7 linked regions of the Rattus norvegicus genome follow. The protein of the gene in region 1 purifies or fractionates together with the protein of each later gene. This does not show direct contact. Links are inferred from orthologs where the notes say so. Each region holds a gene or a part of one and is shown in the gene's direction. Other genes may lie near its edges. The genes, in order: Hnrnpa1, Ddx17, Ddx28, Ilf2, Ddx5, Hnrnpr and Hnrnpc.

The links.
Region 2: the proteins of Hnrnpa1 (region 1) and Ddx17 purify together in Homo sapiens (affinity purification with mass spectrometry; 4 studies listed by BioGRID, with this or other methods). This does not show direct contact. The link is inferred for Rattus norvegicus from reciprocal best matches to the Homo sapiens genes HNRNPA1 and DDX17.
Region 3: the proteins of Hnrnpa1 (region 1) and Ddx28 purify together in Homo sapiens (affinity purification with mass spectrometry; 3 studies listed by BioGRID and IntAct, with this or other methods). This does not show direct contact. The link is inferred for Rattus norvegicus from reciprocal best matches to the Homo sapiens genes HNRNPA1 and DDX28.
Region 4: the proteins of Hnrnpa1 (region 1) and Ilf2 purify together in Homo sapiens (affinity purification with mass spectrometry; 4 studies listed by BioGRID and IntAct, with this or other methods). This does not show direct contact. The link is inferred for Rattus norvegicus from reciprocal best matches to the Homo sapiens genes HNRNPA1 and ILF2.
Region 5: the proteins of Hnrnpa1 (region 1) and Ddx5 purify together in Homo sapiens (affinity purification with mass spectrometry; 4 studies listed by BioGRID and IntAct, with this or other methods). This does not show direct contact. The link is inferred for Rattus norvegicus from reciprocal best matches to the Homo sapiens genes HNRNPA1 and DDX5.
Region 6: the proteins of Hnrnpa1 (region 1) and Hnrnpr purify together in Homo sapiens (affinity purification with mass spectrometry; 7 studies listed by BioGRID and IntAct, counting the BioPlex papers as one, with this or other methods). This does not show direct contact. The link is inferred for Rattus norvegicus from reciprocal best matches to the Homo sapiens genes HNRNPA1 and HNRNPR.
Region 7: the proteins of Hnrnpa1 (region 1) and Hnrnpc purify together in Homo sapiens (affinity purification with mass spectrometry; 8 studies listed by BioGRID and IntAct, with this or other methods). This does not show direct contact. The link is inferred for Rattus norvegicus from reciprocal best matches to the Homo sapiens genes HNRNPA1 and HNRNPC.

Annotation. Positions count from the first base shown.
Region 1 is NC_086025.1:136,252,623-136,256,917, forward strand, and holds the start of Hnrnpa1 (heterogeneous nuclear ribonucleoprotein A1), read left to right. Parts: upstream 1-1,495; 5' UTR 1,496-1,536; coding exon 1,537-1,551; intron 1,552-1,595; exon of another isoform or gene 1,596-1,953; intron 1,954-2,093; coding exon 2,094-2,210; intron 2,211-2,466; coding exon 2,467-2,613; intron 2,614-2,784; coding exon 2,785-2,995; intron 2,996-3,081; coding exon 3,082-3,174; intron 3,175-3,261; coding exon 3,262-3,354; intron 3,355-3,501; coding exon 3,502-3,576; intron 3,577-3,779; coding exon 3,780-3,938; intron 3,939-4,295. UniProt on the Homo sapiens protein: Involved in the packaging of pre-mRNA into hnRNP particles, transport of poly(A) mRNA from the nucleus to the cytoplasm and modulation of splice site selection.
Region 2 is NC_086025.1:112,986,948-112,991,237, reverse strand, and holds the start of Ddx17 (probable ATP-dependent RNA helicase DDX17), read left to right. Parts: upstream 1-1,490; 5' UTR 1,491-1,968; coding exon 1,969-2,018; intron 2,019-4,290. UniProt on the Homo sapiens protein: As an RNA helicase, unwinds RNA and alters RNA structures through ATP binding and hydrolysis.
Region 3 is NC_086037.1:50,819,143-50,823,023, reverse strand, and holds Ddx28 (probable ATP-dependent RNA helicase DDX28), read left to right. Parts: upstream 1-1,450; 5' UTR 1,451-1,460; coding exon 1,461-3,083; 3' UTR 3,084-3,381; downstream 3,382-3,881. UniProt on the Homo sapiens protein: Plays an essential role in facilitating the proper assembly of the mitochondrial large ribosomal subunit and its helicase activity is essential for this function. May be involved in RNA processing or transport. Has RNA and Mg(2+)-dependent ATPase activity.
Region 4 is NC_086020.1:178,255,588-178,259,726, forward strand, and holds the start of Ilf2 (interleukin enhancer-binding factor 2), read left to right. Parts: upstream 1-1,339; 5' UTR 1,340-1,445; coding exon 1,446-1,450; intron 1,451-2,228; coding exon 2,229-2,288; intron 2,289-2,626; coding exon 2,627-2,669; intron 2,670-4,139. UniProt on the Homo sapiens protein: Chromatin-interacting protein that forms a stable heterodimer with interleukin enhancer-binding factor 3/ILF3 and plays a role in several biological processes including transcription, innate immunity or cell growth.
Region 5 is NC_086028.1:92,229,129-92,233,328, reverse strand, and holds the start of Ddx5 (probable ATP-dependent RNA helicase DDX5), read left to right. Parts: upstream 1-1,400; 5' UTR 1,401-1,489; exon of another isoform or gene 1,490-1,500; intron 1,501-1,597; exon of another isoform or gene 1,598-1,738; intron 1,739-2,028; 5' UTR 2,029-2,169; coding exon 2,170-2,213; intron 2,214-3,360; coding exon 3,361-3,526; intron 3,527-3,902; coding exon 3,903-3,999; intron 4,000-4,089; coding exon 4,090-4,200. Other genes in the region: Cep95 (centrosomal protein of 95 kDa), read right to left, coding at 1,127-1,145. UniProt on the Homo sapiens protein: Involved in the alternative regulation of pre-mRNA splicing; its RNA helicase activity is necessary for increasing tau exon 10 inclusion and occurs in a RBM4-dependent manner. Binds to the tau pre-mRNA in the stem-loop region downstream of exon 10.
Region 6 is NC_086023.1:153,833,019-153,836,518, forward strand, and holds part of Hnrnpr (heterogeneous nuclear ribonucleoprotein R), read left to right. Parts: intron 1-2,031; coding exon 2,032-2,145; intron 2,146-3,500. UniProt on the Homo sapiens protein: Component of ribonucleosomes, which are complexes of at least 20 other different heterogeneous nuclear ribonucleoproteins (hnRNP). hnRNP play an important role in processing of precursor mRNA in the nucleus.
Region 7 is NC_086033.1:27,279,916-27,283,923, reverse strand, and holds the start of Hnrnpc (heterogeneous nuclear ribonucleoprotein C), read left to right. Parts: upstream 1-1,208; 5' UTR 1,209-1,362; intron 1,363-1,946; exon of another isoform or gene 1,947-1,983; intron 1,984-4,008. UniProt on the Homo sapiens protein: Binds pre-mRNA and nucleates the assembly of 40S hnRNP particles. Interacts with poly-U tracts in the 3'-UTR or 5'-UTR of mRNA and modulates the stability and the level of translation of bound mRNA molecules. Single HNRNPC tetramers bind 230-240 nucleotides.

The DNA of each region.
Region 1 (4,295 bases):
AAAAACTTTCATAGGGATACAAGTACAAATACAGCGGCCCTGGAAACGGGTGGTAGTGGTTAAGTCTATTTTTCTTGGATGTTTTTCATTAAAGTATTCATTTCACTGTAAAATTTTAATATTCTTCTTTCCAAAGAATAAAGGCACGTCCTCTAGAGTCTAAGTGAAGGGTGAAACTTTTTGTACCAAAAAGTACAAGAAAACATATGTTTTCCTTAAGGTAATATACGGAATGAATGCCTTAATTATAGGAGTCATTTTAGTTAAATGTTCGCCCCCACAAATGCAAGACTAAGCTTTATTTTTTGAGAGTAGTCTGTCCTACTGGCTCCAGGTTTGCTCTATATGAATTTAACCTACCGACTCCCGCGCTCCCCACTGGAGTCCAGCCTCTGCCTCTTGGGGAAGGCCGGCCTATGGCGCGCTTGGGGTTCATTGGCTCGGAGAGACGCAACTCAGGCAAGAAAAACCCGCCTCCCACATTCCGATGGCCCAAGGACCGGTTGGTAGGCAGCTATAGGAAGACCCAATTGGCCTATACACTCGCCAGTCAAACGCTTCGGCAACGCAGCTTCACCGAACCTGCAAGGATAAAACATCCCGCCCCAGTTGTCCTATTGGCTGGCCCGACCCGTCGCGGCCCCTTCACCGTCGTCTCCCCCCCCCCCCCAGTTCAGCGGTCCATTCATTTCGTACAATAACCGGTGCAATTGGAGCAGGTTCAAGATCTCGTACGGGTAGACAAGACTCTGCCACTTACCCGGGATCTAAAGTGATCACTCACACTAAGGCCTGCACGGTTCCTCTGTGGCAAAGCGGCACCACAAGCCACCGCTACCGCCGCCTTCTGCGCAATGCCAACCGCCCGCCAAAACGGATCCTTCCCTGCGCCTGCGCAACCAATCCCGGGCTTGGACCTTTTCTCCGCCCAAAACGCCTGCGCAAAACAGAACACAGGTCCCTCCACTACGCAGGCGCCTACGAACCTCGTATCCCTCTCCCGCCCGCCATTTCACGTGTTCCAGACAGCAGGCGGAACTTCGTACTGCGCCGGCGTAAACTCGCCATTTTTATTACACATGCGCTTTATAGCTGGGAAAAGTCGCGGCGAACTACTTTCTAACGTATCGTCCTTTGCCGAGTGAGTTTGTAACATTCGGGTGTGGGGAAGGTATAAAACACATTTAAAGACGTGAGTACATTCAAATATAAATTACTGGCTAGCTAGCCAATCAATGTGGTTAAGAATAAGATCCCTTGGGGCGTCAATGACTCAAAGGGGCGGGGACTGAGTAGAACGCCCAAACGGATGCCGTTTCTTAGCAGGGCGTTTTTACAGGCCAATGGTGGGAGGGAACAATTTCAAATCTCCAATAAGACTGAAGCAAGGGCGGAGTCTACCAATGCCGAAAGCGAGGAGGCGGGATAAAAGGGAGAGCAGAAGGTAGGCTGCCGGACACGTTCGCTATCTTATTCCTTTCTGCTCTTTGACGCTGGCGAGGAAGCATCGCTGAACGCTCTCATCATCCTACCGTCATGTCTAAGTCAGAGGTGAGTTGAGCGCGCTCTGCAGCTTCGCTTTCTTCCACACTTACTGAATATGACGGGATGTGACCTGTTTTGTCGCTGGCTCCCGTGCTTTCGGTGTTTGATCGATTACTGCTGAGGCCTACTTTAAAAAATGCAGGTCGCCATTTTGTCCTCATAGTCACCATGAGGCTGCGATCCGACAGCCATTAGTTTCTACGCACTGTTCCTTTTGGCAGAATTCTTACACTTAACGATCTGGGGTTTGTGGCCTTTTTTTCGTTTTTCCCTATCTGGTCTAATGATCTCTTGTTAAAGAGATACTAAGTCTTAATGGCGATGGACCAGACCAACCTGTGTCTTTTGTTGCGCCTGCGTATGAAGTAACAGGACGCATGCGCCGCGTGCAACTCGAGTCCCCAGTCAAGCCCAGGAAGGAGCACGTGGTCTTGTGCAGTAATAAAGAACAATAAAAAAGTGTGGCGTGTGTTGATGAATGGTGTTGATTCATTCGCCCAAGTTTCAGGCCCTCCACTAAGCCCCCTCTTTCCCCCACTTTATTTTAGTCCCCCAAGGAACCGGAACAGCTGCGGAAGCTCTTCATTGGAGGGCTGAGCTTCGAAACAACCGACGAGAGTCTGAGGAGCCATTTTGAGCAATGGGGAACACTCACCGACTGTGTGGTAAGATTTAAAAAAACAAAAGGAAGAGCTGCCTTATTTCTTCTGATTTAACCTTGACGCTTCTTAGCTAAATGTTTTGTGAAGTTAATTAATGGGATACTAAAAATCATCGTTGTGGAGCTTTGCTAACAAGATCTGTAAAAGAGCTTTTTATTTTCTGACTCTGGATGGAGTTTCATGTTTGCAGCGCTCTGACTAGGAATGACTTTTTGGCTTTGTGATCAGGCACTGTGTTGATTGAATTAACTCTAAACAGGTAATGAGAGATCCAAACACCAAAAGATCCAGAGGCTTTGGGTTTGTCACATATGCCACTGTGGAGGAAGTGGATGCTGCCATGAATGCAAGACCACACAAGGTGGATGGAAGAGTTGTGGAACCTAAGAGAGCTGTGTCAAGAGAAGTGAGTGGTTTTTCCTAATAGCTGGTTCTTTTTTAACCTGAGATTGTAATGGGGCAGATCTCAACTGGGAGATCCTCCCTCCTGAGTGAAATTAAAGGCATGTGCCACCACAGGTGTCAATCATTTAGGAATGTGCTGCTACTAAATAACTGGAGTCATTTTTCCTTTTAGGATTCTCAGAGACCAGGTGCCCACTTAACTGTGAAGAAGATCTTTGTTGGCGGTATTAAAGAAGACACTGAAGAACATCACCTACGAGATTATTTTGAGCAGTATGGGAAAATTGAAGTGATTGAAATTATGACTGACAGAGGCAGTGGAAAAAAGAGGGGATTTGCGTTTGTCACCTTTGATGACCATGACTCTGTGGATAAGATTGTTAGTAAGTATCAGAGGATTACATTTTCCTTTATGATTCTGGAGTTCACATGTTTTTTTAAAAGTCCTGAATTTAATTTTTCCTCTTAGTTCAGAAATACCATACTGTGAATGGCCACAACTGTGAAGTAAGAAAGGCTCTGTCGAAACAAGAGATGGCTAGTGCTTCATCCAGCCAGAGAGGTGTGTTTATTGCTTGGTTAGACTTGGGGTGAGGAGGACACTGTTAGTTATTACAGGTTAACCTAATGATCCAAAATTTCTTTTAAGGTCGAAGTGGTTCCGGAAACTTTGGTGGTGGTCGTGGAGGTGGTTTCGGTGGCAATGACAATTTTGGTCGAGGAGGGAACTTCAGTGGTCGTGGTGTGTATGGCTTTGTTTGGCTCCTTGTTGGTTTTAGAACTTATAACTAGTAATTGCTACCCTGTGTCCCCAGCACTTACAGGTTTTGATATTTGATAAGTATTCATTCACGTACAAAGCCTGGTTTAAAGCTTTGGTTTCTTCCAGGTGGCTTTGGTGGCAGCCGTGGTGGTGGTGGATATGGTGGCAGTGGGGATGGCTATAATGGATTTGGCAATGATGGTAAGTTTCTTAAGGAGTCTGTAAGGAGTGGTTTCTGGCGACCTCTACCTTTAGAATAGGCTACTAGAGACTAAACCTAGTGCATGACAAAGTTCAGTCAGCCCCGTAAAATGCATGCCCTGAGCAGCCTTTAGCTATTTAACTTGCGTAGATTTTTCTTGTTAAATACTTTTGTCTTATTGAGAAGACTTGTATTCTTGTAGGTGGTTATGGAGGAGGCGGCCCTGGTTACTCTGGAGGAAGCAGAGGCTATGGAAGTGGTGGACAGGGTTATGGAAACCAGGGCAGTGGCTATGGCGGGAGTGGCAGCTATGACAGCTATAACAACGGAGGAGGCGGAGGCGGCTTTGGCGGTGGTAGTGGTAGGTATCCAGTGACGCAGGTACTTGGTGCGGAGCTAGATGAGACTTCCAGGGTTTATGCCCGTCTCAGACTTCACGGCTGGCTCTTAGAGCATTGTAGGTACATTGCATGGTGCGTGCAAATAGGCTTGCTATGCTACCTCCTCCTGGCTTTAAGCTGGGGCCGCCTCCCCCAAAATGAGTAGGTGGATGAGTGGTTAGTGTCTTCCTTCCACATGAGGTAGTTAGAGACATAGCTGGATTGTCTACCTTCTGCTGGGACTTCAGGCATTTAGTTGATATATCCAAGAAATGTCTGTCTTGACCTAGAATATGTACACAAAGACCTTCGATTCTAACTTGCCACTGAGAGAAACT
Region 2 (4,290 bases), about 23 Mb from region 1:
TAACTCGAGATCCGCCTGTTTCTGCCTCCTGAGTACTGCGATTAAAGCAAGCATCGGCTTCCCTTCAGTGTGTGGTGGTTGTTGTTGTTGTTGTTGATATTGTTGTTGTTGTTGTTGATGTTGTTGATGTTGGGTGTGCTAGGTATTGAATCCGGGGCTTCAGTCATGGTCAGCAAGCACTTTCCCACAGCCTCTACACCATTTTCTTTTCCATGTTAGCGAAAGTTTAACATAGAGACTGGAGAGATGACTCAGGTTAAGAGCACTGACTGCTCTTCCAGAGGTCCTGAGTTCAATTCCCAGCAACTACATGGTGGCTCACAACCATCTGTAATGGGATCTGATGCCCTCTTCTGGTGTGTCTGAAGACAGCGACAGTATATTCACATACATAAAATAAATAAATCTTTAAAAAAAAGAGTCTGACATAAACATTTGTCATCTGTCTCCTCTCCGTCTCTAGAGAATAGAGCTCTGAGCAAAGGAATGTGTTGGTTCCCCAGTGCCCTAGCAACTATCGAAATGCATGGATTTCTGTGACTTTCTCTATGGCCCAAATGACAAATGAACAGCTTCTCAAGGGCTTTCAATAAGCTAAGCAACACTCAGAACCGGAGACAAGACTCAGTCTTCAGGCTTCCATTCTCCGCGTCTATAGAAATGAGCCTAGAGGTCTCAAGGAATACAGCAGTTTCACAATTTTATAAAGCAAGTATGACCAAGCTTGTGTGGCTTGGCAGTGTGCAGGGATGGCAAGCAAAGAAAGTAATCTAGGAGTTGGGTGGTACCCGTGGCCTAGCCCAGCCTGCCTTCCCCGGATTGGGTTTGCAAATCCTCACCTAGAAAACGCACCGTTTCTGCAGTCGCGGACCCGTGTGAGTCACCCATTTTAATGATGGCTAAGGTTCAAAGCGCCCACCTCAGAAAGGACTCTGGGAAGGTGTGGCCTCCGTATGAGGCATCAACTATGGCCAGTGGGAAATGTGACAACACTCTGTACGGAAAAATGGCACCTTAACATGAACTGCGGGAAACACTGGATGTCTTTTAGCCTAGCTGGGTTGTTGCCCGCTTTAGAGAGCGACACGATGCATCCAACATGGCTGCGGCGCCAGCGCGGCAAAAAGCAACGGGAAGGAAATGGCGCCGGGGCGTGTGGCTAGCTTGGGGCACAAAGGGCGCTGGGGCGAGGGGCCGAGGCCAACCAAGAGGGTCTCAAGACTTTCAGGGTTCTACGGCCCACAGACCCCGAAGCCTGACCAAAGCAACATGGAAAGCGACCATTGTGTCTGCACAAGGCTGGCATCAAGGGTCGTTTGAGCTCGGAATGCCGGGATAAGTCGATTCTCTAAACAGAATGCGCTACGAAGACTGCGCATCCTCGCAATAGTGGGCTGGCCAACGACGCAAACAATGTTACGTCGTGCCGACGGCTCGCCCCACCCCCACCCAACGTTCTAGAGCTGGCGGCGCGAGAACGCTACGCCGGTTGCGCACACTGCCTTATTTAGGTGGACCAACAAGAGCACTCATCTCCGTCACCGGCGTAAAGCCATTCCTAGAATGTCTGTAGCATCGCGCGCAGCCCTCCAGGCGCTGTTTACGTAGCGTCTCGGCTGTGCGTAGCGTTAAGTTGGAGCAGTCTCAGCGGCCGCCGCCATTTTGTGCAGTTGCTGGGAAGGGAAGGAGACGCCTAAACCGTGGCACCGCCCGGTTTGAGCGTGACCAGACCTCCCAACTGTACTAACAACCCCGATTCTCTGAGTTTTGCTCCCGTCTCCGACGAGAGAGGCGGCGACGGTGGCGTCTGCGACGGGAGACAGCGCGTCGGAGCGAGACAGCGCCGCGCCTGCCGCCGCCCCAACAGCGGAGGCGCCGCCGCCATCGGTCATCACTAGACCAGAGCAGCAAGCCCTCCCGAGCTCGGTCATCCGTGCCCCACTCCCAGATCTTTATCCGTTTGGGACCATGCGCGGAGGCGGCTTTGGGGATCGGGATCGTGACCGGGACCGTGGAGGGTAAGGGGGAGGTGCAGGCGGGGGGCGGGGTGGCCCGCAGAGCCTGAGGCTCGGGACGTACAATGGCGGCAGTGCGCGGGCCTCAGGCTCTGGCGGGCGCCTTTGCGGACCGCGGTCCTGGCTCGGAAGTGGCAGGCCAGCCTGGTCTCCTCTCTTGGCCCGCTCGCTGGTCATTTGATACCTGCAAGCTGGCCCTCGCGTCTTATGGGGAGAACAGTTTTCATCTAGGAAAAGCTGCCTTGAATGGTTTCCTTTCCGCTATGTTAGCCATCCCTTTTAGAGAAGGACTAGAGTCGGAAAGACCTTTTTGAATCTAAACTAGGTTTTACTACCCTTGTGTCTTATTTTGGTTAACTGGAAGCAGTTTGGAATAGGAAGTGCTGGAGTTGATTTCTAAAAGATCGAAATTGGGAGAGCCAAGAGGCAGGTGACTTTTTAAATTGCCTTTTAAAGATCCAGTTGATTTTGAAGCCTAAGCTAAGAAGTTTTGTTTTTATTTTTTTTTCTTTTTTTTCGGAGCTGGGGACCGAACCCAGGGCCTTGCGCTTGCTAGGCAAGCGCTCTACCACTGAGCTAAATCCTCAACCCCCTTTATATGTTTTTTTAATTAGTTAACGTACGAAGCTTTTGGTGGTGTGTTGCCTGAGAAATCCTTGAATATATGCCCTGGAATCAATACATCCAAAAGCTTATGCCAGCTTTATTTCTGACACCTAGAGAGTGGAAACACTTCGCGTCTAGATAAACTCTGGGTGCTTTTTGTTTGGATACGATGAAAACTTGGCTAGTTGTGGTGGCAAATCGACTCAGGAGGCAAAGACAAAACAGATTCAAAGCCAGCCTGATCTGTGTAGTGAGTCCCAGGACTACACAGGGAGCCCCTACCTCGAAGGAAAAAAAGTCTTTGAAAGTAACCAAGCTGTTGAAACCAAAAGAACCCCTTGGGGTGACACATACCAGTAATCCCTGCATTTGAGGCTGAGTCAGGAGCTTGGAGTTAAAAGCTAGCCTGGGCTACACAGATCTTGTCTCAAAACAAGGGAATGGTTAACAGTTCAAAGTGAGGGGCAGTGGTAGAAAAAGGAAATTCGGTTAGAAAACGCCTTGTAAAAGAATCTTAATTGTAGAAGCTTTATTTTCTGCTGGATCATTAAGATGCAAGCAGTTTTGGATTCTAGCAAGCACAGTGGACATACATAGGAACCACATTACACTCGTTTGAGTTAGGCTTAAAACCTCTTAATGATTGGGTCTTGGCTATTGCATGATTGAAAAAGAACTGACTTTCTTGGAAACGTTTTAGAATTCTGTTTGTTACTTCATTTGCAAGTGGAGTGAGGCAGTCAAATGAGAAGCCCTTGACACTGTAATATTGAGCTGAAAAGCCTGAGACCTTAAGGTCTGGTGGGTGTACTCAGTTGTGTATTTTTCTTTCTAGTTGTGTTGTTTTAGCAGTGGTATTAAGTCACCCAAATTCTGCCTACTGAATGTAGATACCCAATGAATTCCAGAAACGTTTCTGGCCATAAATCATTGCAGGGTGGGTTTGTCTCAGTGCTGTGTAGCTTAGTCTGCCCTGGTTGACCTGGAATGTGTCTTCACTGTGCCAGTGTCCAGAGTTCAGAAACAGATGTAGGCCACCACACCAGGCTCTAACAGAAGAGAATATTATTGTCTTGTGGGGTTCCTGCTACCTCTCCCAGTATTACCAGTCTTGACATTCTTTAAAGTAGCTACTATTGAATTTTCTCCAATGCTCTAGTGGTTTACAAGGAATCAGGAGTGAGGTCCTGCAGGGCATGGTGGAAAGAGAGGCCTAGGCCTCCAGCACAGCCAAGGCTATGATAGAGTCTCAGAGAAACAAAACTAAAAAGGAAATGAGTTTTTTTTAAGGCCCTGTACTACATAGATTAAGACAAATAAAGAGGTTATAATAGGACAAATTAGAGGTTATGTTATATTGTTCTGGGAAAAGTAGTTTCTGATTTCTTACATCTTAGCTTTGGCAAGTGGCCATATCTGTATTGTTTAGCTTATCTGTGGTAAACGGTATCTAAAGACAAGACAATTTAAATTTGTTTGAAGGGGTTTTGTTTTGACTCCAGGTCTCTTTGTAGACCAGAACTGGCCTTGAGCTCTGACCTTGTCACCAGCTTTCAAGGGCTAGGATTACACATGTTCAATTCAATACAATCATTAACAAAACAAACACCTGTAACCTACATGTTGGTGAGGTTTTTGGTTTGTTTTCCTCTGTAACTAAATATTAGTT
Region 3 (3,881 bases), on another chromosome or scaffold:
ACTATGCTCAGCTAAATGTTAATCTTTTTAATGGTACTTTCATCAATAGGTACCTACTAGGAGATTGGTTCTAGGAACCTCAAAGATACCAAAATCTGAGGATGCTCAAGCCCTTATATAAAATTTCTACATAGACGCATATATACTTTGATTTTAGGGGGAATGGATTCAGGACTTCACATGCTAATAGGCAAGCACTGTATCACTAATCTACATTCCAACCCTCTCGCACATGCTTTAAATCATCTGTAAATTGCTTATGACCAATAGAATATAAGCACGATGTAAATACTTGGTATACTGTATTGTTAGGGAGTAAGTTCAAAGAAAAATGCATATACATATTTAGTACAGACACAATTTTTCATGAATATTTTCATTTTACAGTGGAAAAATCCACAGATGTCCACCTAGTGAATGAAATTAAAACACTTTCTCCAGATGTTAGGAACCTCCTAAGTATTCAGTCCACAAACATTGACCTTATCTCCCACTCCAGACACTTGACATCTGACGCCCATATTTTTTTCAGATGTGTTCAAGAAGTATGAAGTAAAATAAATAAATAAATAAAAATTTAATAACCTGAACCACTATTCAAGTCAAGTAGTCTGCTTGATCAGCACTATGTGAAATAAGCTTTCATCACTTCATAAGGGTAACGGGACCCTTTCTTCTTTCTACTTCTAGTCAGGCAATTTAGAATCTGCCTGAGAAGCCAGTGGGATATGAGCAGACTCTAAGAGTGGTTGAGTCCAGTCTGAGAATCATGAAGGGGTGACAAGGAATGGAGAATGAAAAATCATGAAGGGGTGACAAGGAATGGAGAGTGAAACTTGCCTGGAAAAGAAGTGTAAAAAATGAGAAACTACACCTGAAAGAACTGAGACCATCTCTCTCCCTTCATAGACGAAATATGTTGAAGACCACCAGCATGCACTCTGGGTTCTAGAGAACAGGGCTGAGCCTGGACCCAGACTTCCAACTTTTGCTTCAGTCCCCAGGCCTATCATTCATTCAGACTCTCGGGAAACTTGCATCACCGAGGTTTTGAGCGATGCGCATATCTACATCGTCGTACTTTGTACCCTTGAAGTTCTATGGAATAACAGGTCGGGGCAATGACGACCACAGGTAAGATATCAGAAATTAAGCACTCAGTTGACAGAGGCCATCCTCACTCGATTCCTTGAGCCAGGGACCCATGTCCCCCTCCTATTGCGGACTCCCACTCCTTCTTCCACCGAGTACCCGTCCCCAAAGATGACCCCAGTCTGGACATCGCCCTGCCGGATGGAAACCTACAGACCTCACAGCCACTGAACTCTTAAGGATCCTCCCTCCTTCCAGACGGTACTGCAGAGCCACACGTGACACTGATCTGCGCCAGCCACCGTATTTCAGACTACAGTCGCGTACGTGACGTCACTACCATGCGCCTCTTCTGCATCAAGAGAAATATGGCTTTAGCCGGGCCAACGCGGCTATTATCATTAGCAGTCCGGTTGCTTCTGGAACCTCGACGGAACATAGTGTTGCGCGGTTCCGACCAGTCCTTGCCTGTTGTGCGCATTCCGCGGGCTCTGCAGCGACGGCAGGAACAGCGACGGAGCGACCGTGGGAGTTTCCAACGGCCGGTGCTAGTGCAACCTGGTCCACTCCTGGTCTCGGCAAAGCGGCCAGAGTTGAACCAGCCCGCACGCCTCACGCTGGGCCGTTGGGAGCGGGCACCACTGGCTTCGCGTGGCTGGAAGCATCGGCGATCGCGTCAGGACCATTTTTCCATAGAGCGAGTGCAGCAAGAGGCGCCCGCCATGAGGAACCTCTCGTCCCGGGGCAACTTCGTGGACCTGGGTCTAGAACCCCGAGTACTGCTCGCGCTTCAGAAGGCTGTCCCCGAAATTGTTCAGCCAACCTCCGTGCAGTCGAAAACCATTCCCCCACTGCTTCGCGGCCGCCACATCCTTTGCGCTGCTGAAACCGGTAGCGGCAAGACGCTTAGCTATCTACTGCCCCTATTTCAACGGCTCCTAAAAGGGCCAGAGCTGGACTCCCGCAGTTCCACCGCTCCTCGAGGCTTGGTTCTGGTACCTTCCCGAGAATTAGCCGAACAGGTGCAGGCAGTGGCCCAGTCATTGGGTAGGTACTTGGACCTGCAGGTTATAGAACTTGGCGGAGGCCTGGGAATGAATAGGCTCAAACTTCAGCTGGGTAAATGGCCGTCAGCAGATGTGCTAGTGGCTACTCCAGGGGCGCTGTGGAAGGCTCTGAAAAGTCAACTGATCAGCTTACATCATCTTAACTTCATAGTGCTGGATGAAGTAGACACGCTGCTAGATGAAAGCTTCGTGGAACTGGTGGACTACATCTTGGGAAAGAGCCCTATAGCAGAAAGTCCAGCTGAGTTAGAAGACCCCTTTAATCCCAAAGCTCAGTTAGTGATGGTGGGAGCCACATTTCCAGAAGGCCTAAACCAATTGCTGAGTAAAGTCACCAGCCCAGACAGTCTGACCACCATCACCAGCTCCAAGCTCCACTGCATCATGCCTCATGTCAGACAGACATTTATGAGACTAAAGGGAACAGAGAAGGTGACAGAACTGATTCAGATCCTCAAACAGCATGACAAAGCAAATAAGGCAGAACCCTCGGGAACTGTCCTGGTATTCTGCAACAGCGCCAGCACCGTGAACTGGCTTGGGTACATTCTGGATGACCACAAAATCCAACATTTAAGGCTGCAAGGGCAAATGCCAGCCTCAATGAGGGCAGGTATCTTCCAGAGTTTCCAGAAGGGCTCCCAAAACATACTTGTCTGCACAGACATTGCCTCACGAGGCCTAGACAGCATCCACGTGGAAATGGTTGTCAATTATGATTTTCCCCCTACTCTGCAGGATTACATCCACAGAGCAGGAAGGGTGGGTCGAGTGGGCAGTGAAGTGCCGGGGACTGTTACCAGTTTTGTGACCCATCCCTGGGATGTGAGCCTGGTTCAGAAAATTGAACTGGCAGCTCGTAGAAGGAGAAGCCTTCCAGGACTAACATCTTCAGTGAGGGACCCATTGCCTCAACAAGACTGACTTTTTTGGCTGACTTAAACCTACAATAGAGCAGGGATCTTCTTGGAGGTCCAGGAAAGTTGAACACTTGTCTTTTGATGACATTGGGTCATACCAGCCCCTCGCCTCTCTGCAGTATAATGAATTGTTTCGAGATCTGAAAAATAAACTACTAGACAGGAATGGAGAGTAACATTCAAACAATAAAGTGGGGGGTTGGGGATTTAGCTCAGTGGTAGAGCGCTTGCCTAGCAAGTGCAAGGCCCTGGGTTCAGTCCCCAGCTCCGAAAAAATAAAAAATAAAGTGGATGTTGACTTTACATAATGTCATGGTTTCTTTTTCTTCTAATTGTATGTGTGTGTGTGGAGGTCAGAGGACAATTCTGTGTAGTCAGTATTCTCTTTCCACCTTTTTGTGTTCCAGGGATCTAACTGAGATCATCCTGCTTGTTTGACAAGTGCCTTTACCCACTGAGCTATCTCAATGGACCACACATCATGAGTTCTAAAAAACTATTTGTATGTGTGTTTTGAAACAAGTTGGCACTGTATATCACACAATGGACTTGGTCCCTAGTAATCTTCCATTCTTTTTTTTTTTTTAAAGACAGGGTCCCTTTCCTGGTGGTGGCACATGCCTTAATCCAGTACTCAGGAGGCAAAACACAGGTGGATCTCTGAGTTCACTTAGCTAACAGTGGTTTTGTGGGGACAGCCTTAATAGTAACCACCATTTGAAGAGAATTCAGTAGATTTTAATGATTTATACTCTACCACATGGGATTTGTTGGCTTGGGTTGTGTTGCTTTGATTTTTTTT
Region 4 (4,139 bases), on another chromosome or scaffold:
GTGTATATGTATACGTGCTTGTGAATACAATCCCCTAGAGGACTTTAGAGATTGACTGAACTTAGGGTTGGGGATTTAGCTCAGTGGTAGAGCGCTTGCCTAGGAAGCGAAGCGCAAAGCCCTGGGTTCGGTCCCCAGCTCCGAAAAAAAGAACTGCTGAGTCATCTCTGATCGAGCCCCAATAAAAAGAAAATCTAAAGGCAAACCTAACCCACGATAGTAGAAATCCAGTATGGTTATCTTTCTGAGATGATAAAATACTGTTTTTGTGAGGCAGGATCTCCCTATGTAGACTTACTTGGCATGGACTGGTTACCTAGAATAGTCTGACCTTGAACTCACAGAGATTCTCCTGCCGCTGCCTCCCAGGTGCGGGAATTAAAGACATGCTCCACCATGTTTACCAAAATATCCTTTAAATTTTTTTCCGTTACATTTATTTATGTTGTGTTTGTGGGTGTCACCACACCCACGGCATTCATAGTGAGGTCGGAGGACAAAATGCAGATCGCGGCTCACCTTCCATCACTGAGTCTCCAGAGGTCGAACTCAGGTAGTTGCGATTGTACCTGCCGACTCACCTTGCCGACCTGATAAAGTATTCCTTATTTTAATGAGGTTACTTAGAAGGAATAGATGCCTACAAAAGTAAATAATACATCAATACTTGTCAGAATCACCTAGCATAGGGAAGTGGGGAGGGAGGATCTGGGTGGAACTGGGGAAGAGAAATACATGATCAAGAAAAATTGTATGACAATTTTCAATAAAAAAGAATCATATAACAGTAATGATATTGAGGGAAAAAATGGTGGGAAATGGAACTATTTCTGATATTTCCGTAAGGTAAAAGTTATGTTTTCAAGTGAGGCGGCACACGGCAGAGATTGCTAAGAGTTTGATGACAGCTCAGGCTACATTAACGAGTATTATGTAAACTAGGGTGACAAAGCAAGACGCTGTCTGGAAAAAAAAGTTGGAGAAGGAAAAAAAACCCCACATCTCTTGCTATGGAAAAATTTAATTGTATTTTCACCCGTAAAAAGAAAAACAAAGTCTCCGATAGCAGAGGATGGTTTCGATCCATCGACCTCTGGGTTATGGGCCCAGCACGCTTCCGCTGCGCCACTCTGCTACCTACTGGTAGGCTATGCTTGTATTACCATAGAAGACTTTACCTGCTTACAGCCTCAAATTCTGAACGCCCTCTACTGTAAGTGGGGGAAATTGCCTCTGTCCCTGGTATGTCTTCTTATTGGTTGACTCCTTTACAGAGCATTTCCATTGGTTGCTGGGTTAACCAATAAACGCACGGGACGGAGTGAGGCGGGAGCCTATCGCGCAGGCGTTTGTTGGGACACGCCGACCCGACGTTTCTCTGTTACCTTGATTCTTCCAAGCGAAGAGCGGTTGAGTGGTCTCCATTGTTCAGGATTAAGCGAGCCATGAGGTAAGTAGACAGGGTGCTTGAAAGTTCCTGCCGTAGCCTCGAGGGATGGGGGGTTGGAGTTGGGGAGCAGGCTGAAATGGAGTCGGGGGAAGAAGGGCCTGTATCTGGGCGGCCGGCGGAAAGCCGGGCCGGAGAGAGTGGAGTAGGAGGAGGCTGGCCGACTCGGGGAATCGGGCCTGGAGGGGGGCCGGGCCCCAGCAGGGCAGTTGTGTTGATTCCTGGGTCTCGGGGGATGGAGGAGAGGTCTTAACGGACCAGGAAGATCACCCTCCGTGCGCAGTGAGCAGGCTGGAGCGCTGCACATTTTTCTGGTGCCTAGTGTTTGACCAATTGGACATGTCTCGTAACTGGTATGCTGTATTAATAAATGAGAAGTCACCTTACCCTGAATATTACGACCCGTGTGCCTCAGGATCGTGGGTTACTTAGTAGGGGTATGTATGTCAGGTTCTGAAACTCGTATTTTCCTGATGTGAGTTTTGATAAAATCCTGAATTAGAAGTGGGGTGTGGTGGCTCAGGATGCAGTCTTGGGGTGGGGGGAGGTAATGCAGGAGATACATGAGATTCCGTTTCAAAAACAGAAGAAAAAAAAGTCCAGAATTAGGATGTCATGAGAGTGGGACTGGACATCATTTGGAATCGGGGAGAAGTGAGCATGATATATCTGTCGACTTCAGTAGTTGGAGGGGGGTCAGGGTAAGTCACATTGAAATAACATTGATGGTGTGATGGAAACCTTTTTCAGCAACATGAGAGTAAAATGTATGTACTTTTAGGGGTGACAGAGGACGTGGTCGTGGTGGGCGCTTTGGTTCCAGAGGAGGTCCTGGAGGAGGGTGAGTGTGGCTGTTCACGTCTTTGCCTTGGTTTGTTTCAGTAGATAGGAGTTTGGAGTAGATTGTTCTGTTTGATTTTGTGAAAACCACTCGAAGCATTTCTTTTCCTCATGTCCTACAAAGTGAATTTGGCTTTTTGCTAAGAATGATGCAGCTTAGAAATGCCTGAATTCTTTTTTTTTTCGGAGCTGGGGACCGGAACCCAGGGCCTTGCGCTTCCTAGGCAAGCGCTCTACCACTGAGCTAAATCCCCAACCCCAGAAATGCCTGAATTCTTAAGACAGAATTCTCTTGCTTGCTTTCTGCCTGAATAATTTTGGATTGTTTTCATGTTTCAGGTTCAGGCCTTTTGTGCCCCACATCCCCTTTGATTTCTATTTGGTGAGTATTTTGGCTTTGGAGAACTTGACTGGCTACTGCTCACTTACAGGTGTAGAAGCCCAGAATCCTTGTTAATGACGTTAGATACTGTTTGGAGTAGGATTCAAGAATGGATCTGTTCTTTGAGAGTGGGTCTTCTGTATGATTGGCTGGCCTGGAACTCTATGTATACCAAGCTGACTGCAAATTCATCATCTTCCTGCCTCAGCCTCCTGAATGCTAGAATTACAGGCATTCATCTGCTGTAAGTTTTTTTTTTTTTTAAGATTTATTTATTTATTATATATAAGTACACTGTAGCCGTCTTCAGACACACCAGAAGAGGGCATCAGATCCCATTACAGACAGTTGTGAGCCACCATGTAGTTGCTGGGAATTGAGCTCAGCACCTCTGGAAGAGCAGTAGTGCTCCTAACCACTGAGCCATCTCTCCAGCCCCCCTGCTGTAAGTTTTTATTTACTTAGTTTGAGTGCTAGAGATGTGAACATGCTACATGTATACCCCATTAACTGGTTTTATTTTATTATTGTATTTATTATATATTGCAATCTACTTAGAGCTATAACTACAGGTCTAACATGGCTCTAGCAGAGGACACAAGTTTTTCCCGGTTCTTACATCGTACATAGTGCACATCTGTCTGTAACTCTGATTTCCAAGGCTCTTACGTCTCTGTTGACTTCCACAGGCTCTTGCACACAGGATGCATATACACACACTGTGGCACTCGCATATACATAAATACATATTAAAAACAAGCCAGTTCACCAGCCCAGCCAGTCTTAAAGAGAATGAAGTCCTTTTGTGATACCAGCAATGGAAACCCCAGCAATAGGACCATTGTTAGTGTTCAGGGCCAGCCTGGGCTACAAATGAACCGTCTCAATAAGAACAAAACTTAGAAAAGAGTGTAAGCAAGGCAGGGAAGATACTTTCTTTACAGTTTGATTGTAATATTTGTCTAGAAAATACTTTTTTTTTTTTTTCTTTTTTTTCGGAGCTGGGGACCGAACCCAGGGCCTTGTGCTTGCTGGGCAAGCGCTTTACCACTGAGCTAAATCCCCAACCCTAGAAAATACCTTTTTTTTAAAAAAAAATATTTTTAGGACTTATTTATTTACTTTGAGACATTGCGTGTGTGTGTGTGTGTGTGTGTGTGTATGTGTGTGTGTGTGTATAAAACCTTGGCTGGCCTGGAACTCAGAGATCTGCCTGCCTCTGCCTCCAGAGTGCTCAATGTGTATATTATACTACATGGTAGATTATAATTAGTTTCTTTCTTTCTTCATTTATGTTTGGATTTTTAAACAGGGCTTTTCTCTGTAGCCCTGGCTATCCTGGAACTCAGAAACCCACTTGCCTCTGCCTCCTGAGTGTGTGCCACCATTGCCATCTGGCTTTTTTTTTTTTTTTATCAGGGGCAGCTCTTTTTTTTTTTTTTTCGGAGCTGGGGACTGAACCCAGGGCCT
Region 5 (4,200 bases), on another chromosome or scaffold:
TCCTATTTACCGGTATTTTTATACTCACATGGGTGTTTTTAGTTACAATAAATTTATAGGTAACCAGGAATATCGTAAGACAGCTGTAAATGAAAACCTAAAAACTGCTAGAAATTAATGGAGGTAGCTCTGAATTCCCAGTAGTTTTTAGACATGTTTTTACCCAATTATCTTGTATAAGTAAGATCTCTCGGGTGCCCAAACAAGTGATTAATTTAGGCTGTTAGGAATTTGAATAATGACAACACCGACACTAATGCATTTGTTAGTTTTCTTTTTTATTATATTTGATGTGTACGAAGGTAAAAATGAAAGAAAAAAAAAGCCAAATCGCTAAGCTCTAAACTAGCACATTAATAATCCTAATCAAGCTCCCCGTTGTTCTTTTCCAAAAACAGCTCGTGCCCTCCCCCAGATAGTACAGGACTAACGATTAAGGGTTTCAGCAATAATTCCGAAAGCTTGAAACGCCTGTATCCTGAAATGACTGGATATTAGAAAGCACTTTAGAATTGGTCACATTTCCAGTACAGTCAGACATTCTGGAGACAGTAGTCTGAATGTGTCATGCCCATTTTGCCCTCCTTCCAATGCCCAATGCGCACAGCTGACCAAGCCATGACAACCATTTTGTATTGTCTTGGAAAGGACGAGGAAAGCGTCCTAGACAACCGAGTCAATTGGCTTTTTAAAGGCTGTACTAGACAAAGCCAGTTACTGTAGAGGGCATCAAAAGATCTTATGAGTGCTATGCCTCAAAAGGAAAAAATATATATAGATAGGTTCAACCTTAGTCCAAACAAACCAAAGGGGAAGGAGAGACAGTCTGTGGCTAGATACCCCACAGAAACTCGGATCCAAGAAGGATCCTGACTGCTCTGTAAAAACAGGATGAGGGTATCCCAGCCTTGTCAATGAGCTCCTGTCTCATCCCAAGTCTCAATTCCACGCCTGGAAAACACATGAGGTCTCGAGGGTGAGACCCTAAATTTAGAGATTCCCTGCGACTGCAACTAGTGTCCAACCATCACGAGCCTCTCCAGCAGCCCAGACATGGCTCAGATTCAGCCCGAGGCCTGCGGAATGCTGCAGTACAAAAACACTAGGGCTCCAGGCCGAGACTCACCAGCCTCTGAGCTGGCCATACTGCCAAGTGAGGTCGCGGCCAGACTCCAAGACGAGAGCGCGGGCGACGGTGTCCTGGAAGGGTCGAACCCGGTAGAACCGAAGGGAGTAGGAGGGGGTAGAAACCAGAGAGCGGGGAAGGAGGGGTAGAAAAGGGAGGGACGTTAAAACGGCTTCTCGCCGCTGATTGGTCAGAAGAGAAGCACTTCCTTTCGCAGCACGCGCTTAGGCGGCAGTTTGCGGGCTCCAGATACCATTCCCCGCGGACAAGATCCCGCTTAAGGGCTCTCAGATCGGCGTGCAGGGCAGCCAGGTCACCCAGCAGCCCGGCCGATCTCCTGGGGGCGTTAGAGCCGCGCTTCCGGTGAGTTTGTGGTTTTGTATTCCTCCGCCGAAGGCAAGCGAGAAAGTAGTGCGATACGCCTTGCCCAGGGTACAATCACGTGACAACGCCAAGCTCCGCCTCCCCCGTCTTCTTTGGTTATGGGCGTGGGGGAGTCTGTGAAGACGTAAACATCTTCAAGTAGAGACAGTAGGATGGCTGGTGCTGGCCATTTTAATGACTGGTTGGCCACGGGGAAGAAGCTTGTTTGACATGTAGCAAGGCGAGAAGGTGGTGTAGCCAAAAGGGTGTGGGACGGGGCATTCTAGTGGTGTCACCCAGTCGAGAAGCGAGTAATAAACGGGCGCCTATGAGGGAGCGCCCGCGGGGGGGAGGGGCGAGAACATGGCGGATTCCGGAACGCCAGCGGGCGTTGAGGCCTTGGAGCCAGGGGGCGGGGTGATTAGGTCATAGAGCGGCTCCCAGCATCCTTTGCGACGAGGAGGCGGTCCAGACTATAAAACCGGCTGCCCGGACGCAGCCGGCACCTCATTCATTTCCATCGGTCCTTGGGTTTACAGCTCCGGCCCTCGTCACCGCCGTCCCTCCGCTGGTGACGCCCCCGCAAAGGCTTCGCCGTCGCCGAGGCCTCCTTTCAGCGACTCGTCGCAACTGGATTCTCTTTCACTGGGTTCCTCCAGCACACCGCAACCATTGACGCCATGTCGAGTTATTCTAGTGACCGAGACCGCGGCCGGGATCGAGGGTGAGTATAACAAGGGACCTGTCAGGGCGGGTGGGGGATGGGAGAGCGGCGCGGCAGAAGCTCGGCTTTCCAACCGACCTTTAGATTTTTTTTTCTGGTAGGAGGCCTTGCGTTTCTCTGACATCCGGCTAAAAAGCCGTTAAAGGCGACGCTTCTGGTAACTGGGTTCAACCTTGGTTTTTGTTTGGGAGGACGGCGGCCTGGGCGACCTCGCGGCTGTTGTGGGAAGCCCGGAGGTGTTTTAGATAGGGAAGCGCCTCGCCTTAGAGTCGGCTCAAGGCGTCGTTTGCGCAGCCTTTCGCTGGGGGTTTTAGGGGGGCCCCCGGGGTCCCCAGAGAATACAAGGGGCGCTTTCGAGGCCGTCTGTGCCCGGTAGGGTGGCCTACGCCAGCGGATTCAGCCATGTGGCTGAGCCGCAGCCACAAAATGCCGGCCTCGGACATGGCGGCGGCGCCTTTGTTACCCCGCCCGGCGGAGGAGCTCAAAATGGCAGCGTCGAGAAAATGTGGCGCAGAGAGAAATGCGAGACAAAGAAGGAAGCGCCGCCCCAGCGGGAACGCCGCCCGGGCCGGGACTCCTCCCCCGGTTGCCGTCGACTCCTCCTCTTTTTCTCCCTCGCGTTATATAATTTTGTTACCTTGATTTGCAGCCGTTCGCGGCGTTTCCTAAAACAAGGCTCCCTGGCGCGTGTGCCCCTTTCTACCCTGCCCGCGGTACCGTCCTCCCATAGCCACTCACGTTGCCTGCGCAGTCCCGTTATTTCTTTAAGATCAGGCCCTTTGATGAAAACAGTGGCAAAAATAACCTTCTTAAGCTCCTCCCTTCTTGTCCAGCTCCTAGACACTTAATTCCTAAGCTCTGTGGGGAGAGAAGAGGGAGCCTCTAGCTGTTGTCCTTGTAATCTGAACTTCAGACGTTTGGGCAGTTTGGGACCTGATAGATCCCACGCTGTTTATTTGGCCTCATTAGAGTGTACTTGGGACTTCAGAAAAGAAACGCTGCCAGTTGTGGCTGTCCGTAGAATGACAGTTGGGAAGGATTCCAGAGGCACACTTTGGCTCGGATCAAGAGACATTAAATGAAATGTGGAGACAAACCTGTTCATGTAGAAGTCTGTTCACAATGTACCTAACTTTTTTTTTTGTAGGTTTGGTGCACCTCGATTTGGAGGGAGTAGAACAGGACCCCTATCTGGAAAGAAGTTTGGAAATCCTGGGGAGAAACTAGTTAAAAAGAAGTGGAATCTTGATGAGCTGCCCAAATTTGAGAAGAATTTTTATCAGGAACACCCTGATTTGGCAAGGCGCACCGCAGTGAGTATTTAAATGTGGCTTCATCGTGCTATAACTCAGTAGTAACTACTTCTGATCAATTAGATGGAAACTTAGCAGGTGCCTTGCAGATTATTTGGAGAATTACTTGTCTGACTTCCCATTGAATTTTCTCTTGTGTATTGGCCAGGTGTAATGGCCATATGTTAATCTCTGGGGAAACATCACTGGGGAAACAGGCTTGTCAGCCTATTTGGGCTTCATAGACACTTTTTTTTTTTAATGTGTATTGTGATTTTTACTGCTAAGTAGAGTTCCATTTATGGGTCCAGATAGTTAGAAATGAGTGTAACTGAGCTGTAGGGAACTTGTCGGTGTATCTGGCCTAGGTCTGAGACCAAGATCATTTGTTTTTCAGCAAGAGGTAGATACGTACAGAAGAAGCAAGGAAATTACAGTCAGAGGTCACAACTGTCCAAAACCTGTTCTGAATTTTTATGAAGCAAACTTTCCTGGTAAGGAATAAATTTTATCTTTAACCCTTTACGTTTTTTCCCTCTTTTTTTGCCTATAAGTTTTTGTTAAAATGGTATTGTTGGTTGCAGCAAATGTCATGGATGTGATTGCAAGGCAGAACTTCACTGAACCCACTGCTATCCAAGCTCAGGGCTGGCCAGTTGCTCTCAGTGGATTGGATATGGTTGGAGTAGCTCAGA
Region 6 (3,500 bases), on another chromosome or scaffold:
GTAGCTCAGTCTGATCGGGAACTCACTGTAGAGCCCAGGTTGGTTCCAAACTCAAGGTGATGCTGCCTCAGCCTCCTGAGTGTTGAAGTGAAAGGCTGGGATTTTTTTTCTCTTAGGAAAGAGCTGTCGTATTCTAACTGCTTTCTTCTTTCTTTTGAATTTTTTCTGACCTTAGTGCATCTATAAAATGGTCCTGGTTGTGCCTACAGCGGTTGTGTAGATTAGATGAATTCATATGTAAAATATCTACCCTCCCCAGTCATCATTATTATTACTAACCTAGATAAACTCCTTTGAAAGGCAAATAGGCTTTTGCTAAAAGACCTAGTTAAAGGGGTATTGACAAGGTTGCAGTTGGTCACCCCCAACCCCAAGCCCTGGGGATCTAACCCAGGGCTTTACACATGCTAATCGAATGCTTGGTTCTAAGCCGCCCTCCCAGATTTAATTTGAATGGTATTGAATTTTGGTGTTGTTTGCACTGGTGGCTCCTGTTTAGGTCTAACTAACTTTGTAAAGCATCTTTACACTTTTCTCCTCCATTCTCATCTGTTTATAAAGTAATTTAGCTGAATTCTTTTTTTTTTAAAGATGTAATTATTTATATGAGTACAGTGTCGCTCGCTGTCTTCAGACACACCAGAAGAGGGCATCAGATCCCATTTCAGATGGTTGTGAGCCACCATGTGGTTGCTGGGAATTGAACTCAAGACCTCTGGAAGAGCAGTCAGTGCTCTTCTTTTTTTTTTTTTTGGAGCTGGGGATCGAACCCAGGGCCTTGCATTTGCTAGGCAAGCAAGCACTCTACCATTGAGCTAAATCTCCAACCCCATCAGCAGTCAGTGCTCTTAACCGCTGAACTATTTCTTCAGCCCCCTAGCCAATTCTTAGATAAATTCCAAACAACTGTATAACAACTCTGATTGGCTAACACCACCCCTGTCCCCCAGCCCCCTGGTAAAAAAAAAATGGAAGGTTCAAGACATCCATCCCTGTGGAATCATATGGTTAACTAAATTTAGCAAACATAAATCTGGTGTTGCTTTGTATAATTAAATACCTAACATGCAAAGCCCTTCTCTTTCTTGGTAGAGTACATATTTTGTTTGCCAACAGAAGATATTCTATAGGCCTTTCATAGGAAATTTCACATGAGTGTTATGTAAACTATAGTGCAAGCTCTTTGGGGGCAAGGGCATCTTCTGTTAACTAATGTTAATGAGGTGGGACAATTAAATAATAAGGTTTCATTTTTTTTAAGTCAGTATATTTATTTGGTAGTTACCAAATTTAGAGTCTACCCTGTGAGATACTTCAGTTGTGCTGAGCTTGTGGTTTGGTAAGAATATGAACAGACAAATGGAATAGTTAAGGGCAGTCGTGAGCTGTGTGTATTCTGGGAACTAAACCCAGGAGTTTGCAAAGATCAGCAGGTGCGCTCAATGTTAGAGCTGTCTCTTTGGCTACCCCCTTTGAAATAGTTTACTGTTTTCTTTAATTGTATGTATATGTGTGTGTCTGAGTGTGGATTTGTACACATGACTACAGTGTCCATGGAGGCCAGAAGAGGGTGTTGGACTCATTGGACCTGGAGTTACAGACAGTTAATAGTGACATGTTTAGCATGTTTCCTGTGAACCAAATGTGTGTCCTCTGGAAGAGCAGTAAACTCTTAACTGCTACGCCATCTCTCTAGCTCCTCATTTTTCTTTTTCTCTTTTTTGGGGGGTGAGGAGGGAGTTCCAGACAGGGTTTCTCGTGTAGCTCTGGCTGTCCTAGAACTTACTCCATAGATCAGGCTGCCCTCAAACTCAAAGATCTGCCTGCCTCTGTTTGCTGAGTACTGGGATTAAAGTCATGCACTGCTGCTGCCCAGCCCCATATATGTGATACTGGAGAAAGAATCCAGTGCCTCATGCATGCATGCATGCATGCATGCTATATTTCTAGCTACTCCTTTTAAATTAGCATAAAATGCATTTCATAAGATGTTATAGTTTGTGTGTGTTTAACATGTGCAATTATTTTTAGGCCTTGCTCGAGAGGACTGGTTATACTTTGGATGTAACCACAGGACAGAGGAAGTATGGTGGGCCTCCACCAGACAGTGTGTACTCAGGTGTGCAACCAGGAATTGGAACAGAGGTCAGTGCTCTTATTTATCCCTTTGTGGGAAATCTTTCTAGTCTATTAAGTGGATTATCGAGTGTATGATGTGGGCAAAGTACTTGATTACTTTCAAAGTGTGGCTAGTGTTATATTGGTAGTATTTATGTATATTTTTTATTAGCAAAGGTAACTAACCTTGGTATAGAAATCTTTCTTGCAAGGTTTATTTCATGTATAAAGTACACTGTCGCTTTCCTTAGACACACCAGAAGAGGGTGTCGGATCTCATTACAGATGGTCGTGAGCCACCATGTGGTTGCTGGGAATCGAACTCAGAACCTCTGGAAGAGTAGTCAGTGCTCTTTAACTGCCAAACCGTCTTTCCAGCCCAGTATAAATCTATCTCTCTCTCTCTTTTTTAATTGCATTTTTTAAGTTTACAGTTTAAATGTTATCTTCCCCCCGCCTGCCTCCCATATCTTAAAGCAAGAAATACAGACAATTGTTGGAGCTTACTGCTAAAGGAAAAGTAGTTTTTAAGTTTTTTGTCCTAGAGATCGAACTTGGGCCCTCATTCGTTCTGAGCATGTGTTCTACCAGTGTGCCATGCTCCTTGACCTAAGTCTCCATTTGCAATGATACTTTAGTATGTAGCCTAGGCTGCCTTGACTTCTGAGGGTAGGGGTTGTGGGCATAGGCCACTGGACTCAGTTCATGTTTATTTTATTTTAAGACAAAGTCTTACATGTAAACTTTCCTGATCTAAAGTGCTCTGTGTAGATCAGGCTTGCCTTGAACAATTGGCAATCCTGTCTGCCTCTTGAATGCTAGGGTTGTGCTGGATGAGCCATCACGTCTAAAACATTTTTGTTTTGAAATGTCAGTACTTCTGAAACTGTGTTTGTCATTACTCTTCGCTTTCTTTCAACACATAAAATGCACTTAGAAATTAATGAGAGGGGAAAGTGTAGGTGTAGAATTGAGAAGATTTGAGCACATCAGTTCATATGCAGATTGAAAAGTAAGTGACTCCTTAGGCTTTTGTAAAAGTTTCTCTCTGGCTCATTCCTCCCCCTTCCCCCCTTTCTGTATATAGTCCTGGCCATCCTGGAACTCACTCTGTAGACCAGGCTGGCCTCAAACTCAGAGGTAATTCCTGCTCCTACCTCCTGAGTGCTGGGGTTAAAGGAGTGCTCTACCTCCCTCCTCCCTGGCATGCCTTCCTTCTTTTGGTTTGCTCTTGTTGTTTTTTGAGACAGGGTTTTATGTAGCTCAAGCAGTCCTAGAGCTCACTAACTTATAGTCCTCCTGCTTGCACCACCAGGGTGCTGGGATGATAAGTTTTCTCCACAACAGGTTTACGTAGTGCTGAGGCTCCAACTCGGACTCTG
Region 7 (4,008 bases), on another chromosome or scaffold:
AACAGAAGGAACCTGGGGTTCAATGGCCCGCAAGCCTAGCCATGAAGGGCTTCCCATTTGTCTGTCTACCTACCTACCTCTACCTAGGTACTTATATTTATTGTTTTTTCGACAGAGAGTTTCACTATACAGCCCTAGCTGTCCTGAAACTTGAGTAGACTGGCCTTGCACTAGAAATACCGCCTAGCCCAAACCTTTCTTTAAAGAAAAAAAAAATAAAATAAAATTGGGAACACATAAACTCGCTGGACTGGAACATTTAAAATAAATCCTTTGAAAATGTCAAAGGTTTAAAGGTCTAAAGAAGACCTAAAAGATTATTTTTTATTTTTAAATCAGGAAATTTCCTGGGGTACTCTTTCCCTTTCTCAGTAGGCTATATACATTTTTGGCCTGTTTAATGTTTCTACAGTGTAACCAGAGCTTTACTGGCCGAGCTGAGGGGGTTAAGTAGTATCAAGCTATTGCAGGAAGTGGGAAACTGAGGCGGCTGGCCATTGGTTTTGCAGATTGTGTGACGACTTGGGCCCAGGAAACGGGTTTATAGGGGTCTAGGCAATTGCTCTTATAGGAGAGAACTATGGAAACCAGTTGGTTTGGAGGGAGCTGTTCACTGACAAGGCCACGTCCTTCCAATAGCTTATAGAATCTGGCAATGAGAGGGGATCTGAATTTGAAAATAACTGCAGACCTGTTTAGTTTTTAACACTTCAGGCGGCCTAGGGATTACGATCCTCCCTTCTCTAAAGCTTGTTTGCACTTCCCTTTTTTTCCAAGGCCTGAGGCTAGGGCAGGCCCTTTGCACCCGCTACCAGACTCCACCCAGGCTTTCCCACCTCCGTGCCGCGGAAATGCGGTGATCTGGCCGGACCTAGGATCTCTAGGAAGCACTGATAGGACGACACGGCCGTCAGTCAGGTCCGCCGGATACCCGGATGAGAAGCTGTGCGCGATACAAAGGCGAAAATTCCACCCAGCTTTCCGTCTGGTACAGTGACCAATAACCATCCGTCAGACACTAAGTGATAGAAAGCTTAACCAATTACTAAGTAGCTTTTGTTACGCATGTGGAAATTCTCCCAATTAGCCCAACCCACCTCGTGTGATGATTGGACGGAATTGTGAGGAGCGGTAACGCTATCTAATTAGGAGCGGGAGCGAGAAAAGTCACAGCCAATAGAAACGCCTCCGGGAGCGGGGCGGGGGCTGGACTTTTGCCTCGGCGGCAGAGGAGCTCGGGGGCCATTTTGTGAAGAGACGGAGAGCGAACGGTCGTGTGGTTCCTTGCTGTTGTAGCTCCGGCTTCTCGGCGTAGACCCGCAGTAGGAGAGGCAGGCTCTTCTCTCTCTCTCCTTCCTCTTGGTAAGCGGAGAGGGCGAGGGCAGGGGAGGCCCTGGGTTGCTGGGCCCCGCGAGGGGGTTGTAGGCGAGAAAACGGCCTCGCGGCAGAAACCGAGGCCGCGTTTGTTCCTGTGCGTTGGGGATTGGGTCTAAGGCGGGAGGCAACAGGCCTCGGCCTTGGCGCAGGTTCAACCTAGTGACCTCTAGGCCACGGTGCGTACGAAAATACCCTCTTTGCGCGCTGGTGTTTAACGGCTACTTTCATTTCCTTCCCCCATTAGGATTCCAAGGGGGAGCAGGGGAGCAAGAAAGCGAAGAACGAAATGCTTGTTAATGTAATTGTAGTGAATCTCTTACTCCGTTATTGTCTTCTAAGCTAAATGTCGGGCGTGGGTGGGGGAGCGATAACATGGTGGTGTAGTACTGGAAGCTTCTAAATTCCAGGCCGGCCACATGGCATCTGAACGGCGTTTTAACAATAGATTAAGTAGTGATTACTTTTTTCTTCAAGGGATAGATGGGTAAAAGTCGGGAGTGCTTTTGGTTTGTAAAGGGAAGTGCCCAAGGTAAATTGTAATTGGAATAATTACAGCTTTTTATCTGCAGGTTACAAATCACATAAGTTAGTGGAACTTTGCTTGAGGTAGGTACTGCTGTCCTAGAGAGAAGTGAGACTTAAAAGTGGTTGACAGGACCGGACTAAATCAGTAGTAGAGAAACTAAGATATTTCTAGGCAGGTCAAGTTACTAGAATAGACTATACACAAGAAGAGACTTAGCCGGTAGGTGGTGACAGTGCACGCCAAATGCCTCCCACCACTTGGGAGGCAGAGACAGGCAGATCTCTCTGAGTTGTGGGCCAGCCTGGTCACAGAGAGAGAGTTCCAGGACAGCTCGGGCTACACAGAGAAGCCCTGTCTCAAAAAGGGGGGTGGGGTGGGAATGAGTTTTTCTTTTTAGAGGAACCTGATACCGAAATTTACAGGACATTTTCAATCTGGACTTGGGAACAATAATTAAAAGGCACAGAAATAGTTTACAGATACTCCAGTATTAATCCTACCCATCTAGAATGGAAAAAAAGCAGTTTACAGCTAGTTATGGTAGTGCAGGCCCGGAATGTTTGCATTCTGGAGGTTCAGAGACAGGAAGATCCTGAGCAAGATCCCATTGCAAGGCAGCCCAGGACTACATAGTAAAACATGTTTAAAAATTAAAGTAGTTGCTCTCTTGTAGGTGTTGAGTTCTTTTTTTTTTTTTTTTTAGATTTATTTATTCTATATAAGTACACTGTTGCTGTCTTCAGACACACCAGAAGAGGGCATCAGATCTCTTATTACTGATGGTTGTGAGCCACCATGTGGTTGCTGGGAATTGAACTCAGGACCTCTGGAAGAGCAGTCAGTGCTCTTAACCCCTGAGCCATCTCCTCCGTCCGAGTTCTTTTAAATATAGCTAGTGATAGTGCTTAGGATTCAAGATGCCCAGGATTCAATCTCCCATACTAATAAAGGGTTTTTGTGTCACATTAACTTACCTGGGAGTTATTTCATTAGATAAACTTATTATAAAATTGGTATTTCACTCTGGCACAGTTTTTAATCTCAGCACTAGGAAGGCAGGAGATCTGAATGTAGAGTAAATCTAGTAATTCTAGGACAGCCAGGGCTATACAGAAAACAATGGGTTTGATTAAGTGACAAAAATATGCTACTAATCTTAGTTTAAACTATACACACATTTTACTCTTAAGCATACTTCATGGAATGTGCATGGCCTACTCTTGTAATTTGAGCACTTGGGGGATAGAGGTAGGAAGAGTTCAAGGCCATCCTTGGTCCAGCTTGGAGTATTAAGACTGTCTAAAGAAGAACAAATGCAGACAAAGGAAAAAAAAACAGCCTCCCACATTTTTTGTTTGGTTTCTCTGTGCAATAGGCCTGGCTTTTCTGAACCCACTGTCTTGATTAGGCTGGCCTTGAACTCTGATCCACCTGCCTCCGCCTAAGTAAGAGATGGGATTAAAGGCATGTGCCTTTAAAAAGTAGATAGAGTACAGGGTTTTGCCTGGTGAACAGTGAAAACTAGGTAAGAGAAAGTATTATAAATGTCAGAAGTTATGCAAGGTTACTGGTAGTAGTTGATGTATACTTGCCATTAAGTGTTATAAATGTAGGCCAGGCTTGGTAGGCACCTTGTTCTGGTAGAACATGTGGATTTCTTGGAGTTTTGAGGCCAGACTCAAATTACATTTTTGATTTGACTTGGGAGGAAGCTGTTAAAATTGCAAGGTTTGGATCTCTCATTTGCCATGGTCAAGCCATTTTCCAAAATGGTTGGTAATGGTTACTATTTTTTCTGTAGAGTAATTATAACATGTTTGCAATTTGATCTCTAGATTTATTGGCTTGTGATCTTGTTATAAATGGGCATGGCTGTTCAAGCAAGTAAGGAATATATTCCTAAATAGTTCGTTACAGTCTTATAGATGATGAGTGGAAGTTACTAACTAGGGAAACTACAATTGAAAAATCTTGGCTGTGTAAAACTATGTAAGTATCCAGTAAATTAGACTTCTGGATTTGTTTTGAGATATAAAACAAGCTAAACTACTACTTTATATGGAAATTTTGAGTTCTCATTTAACCCTAGTCATTGCTGAAAGTAG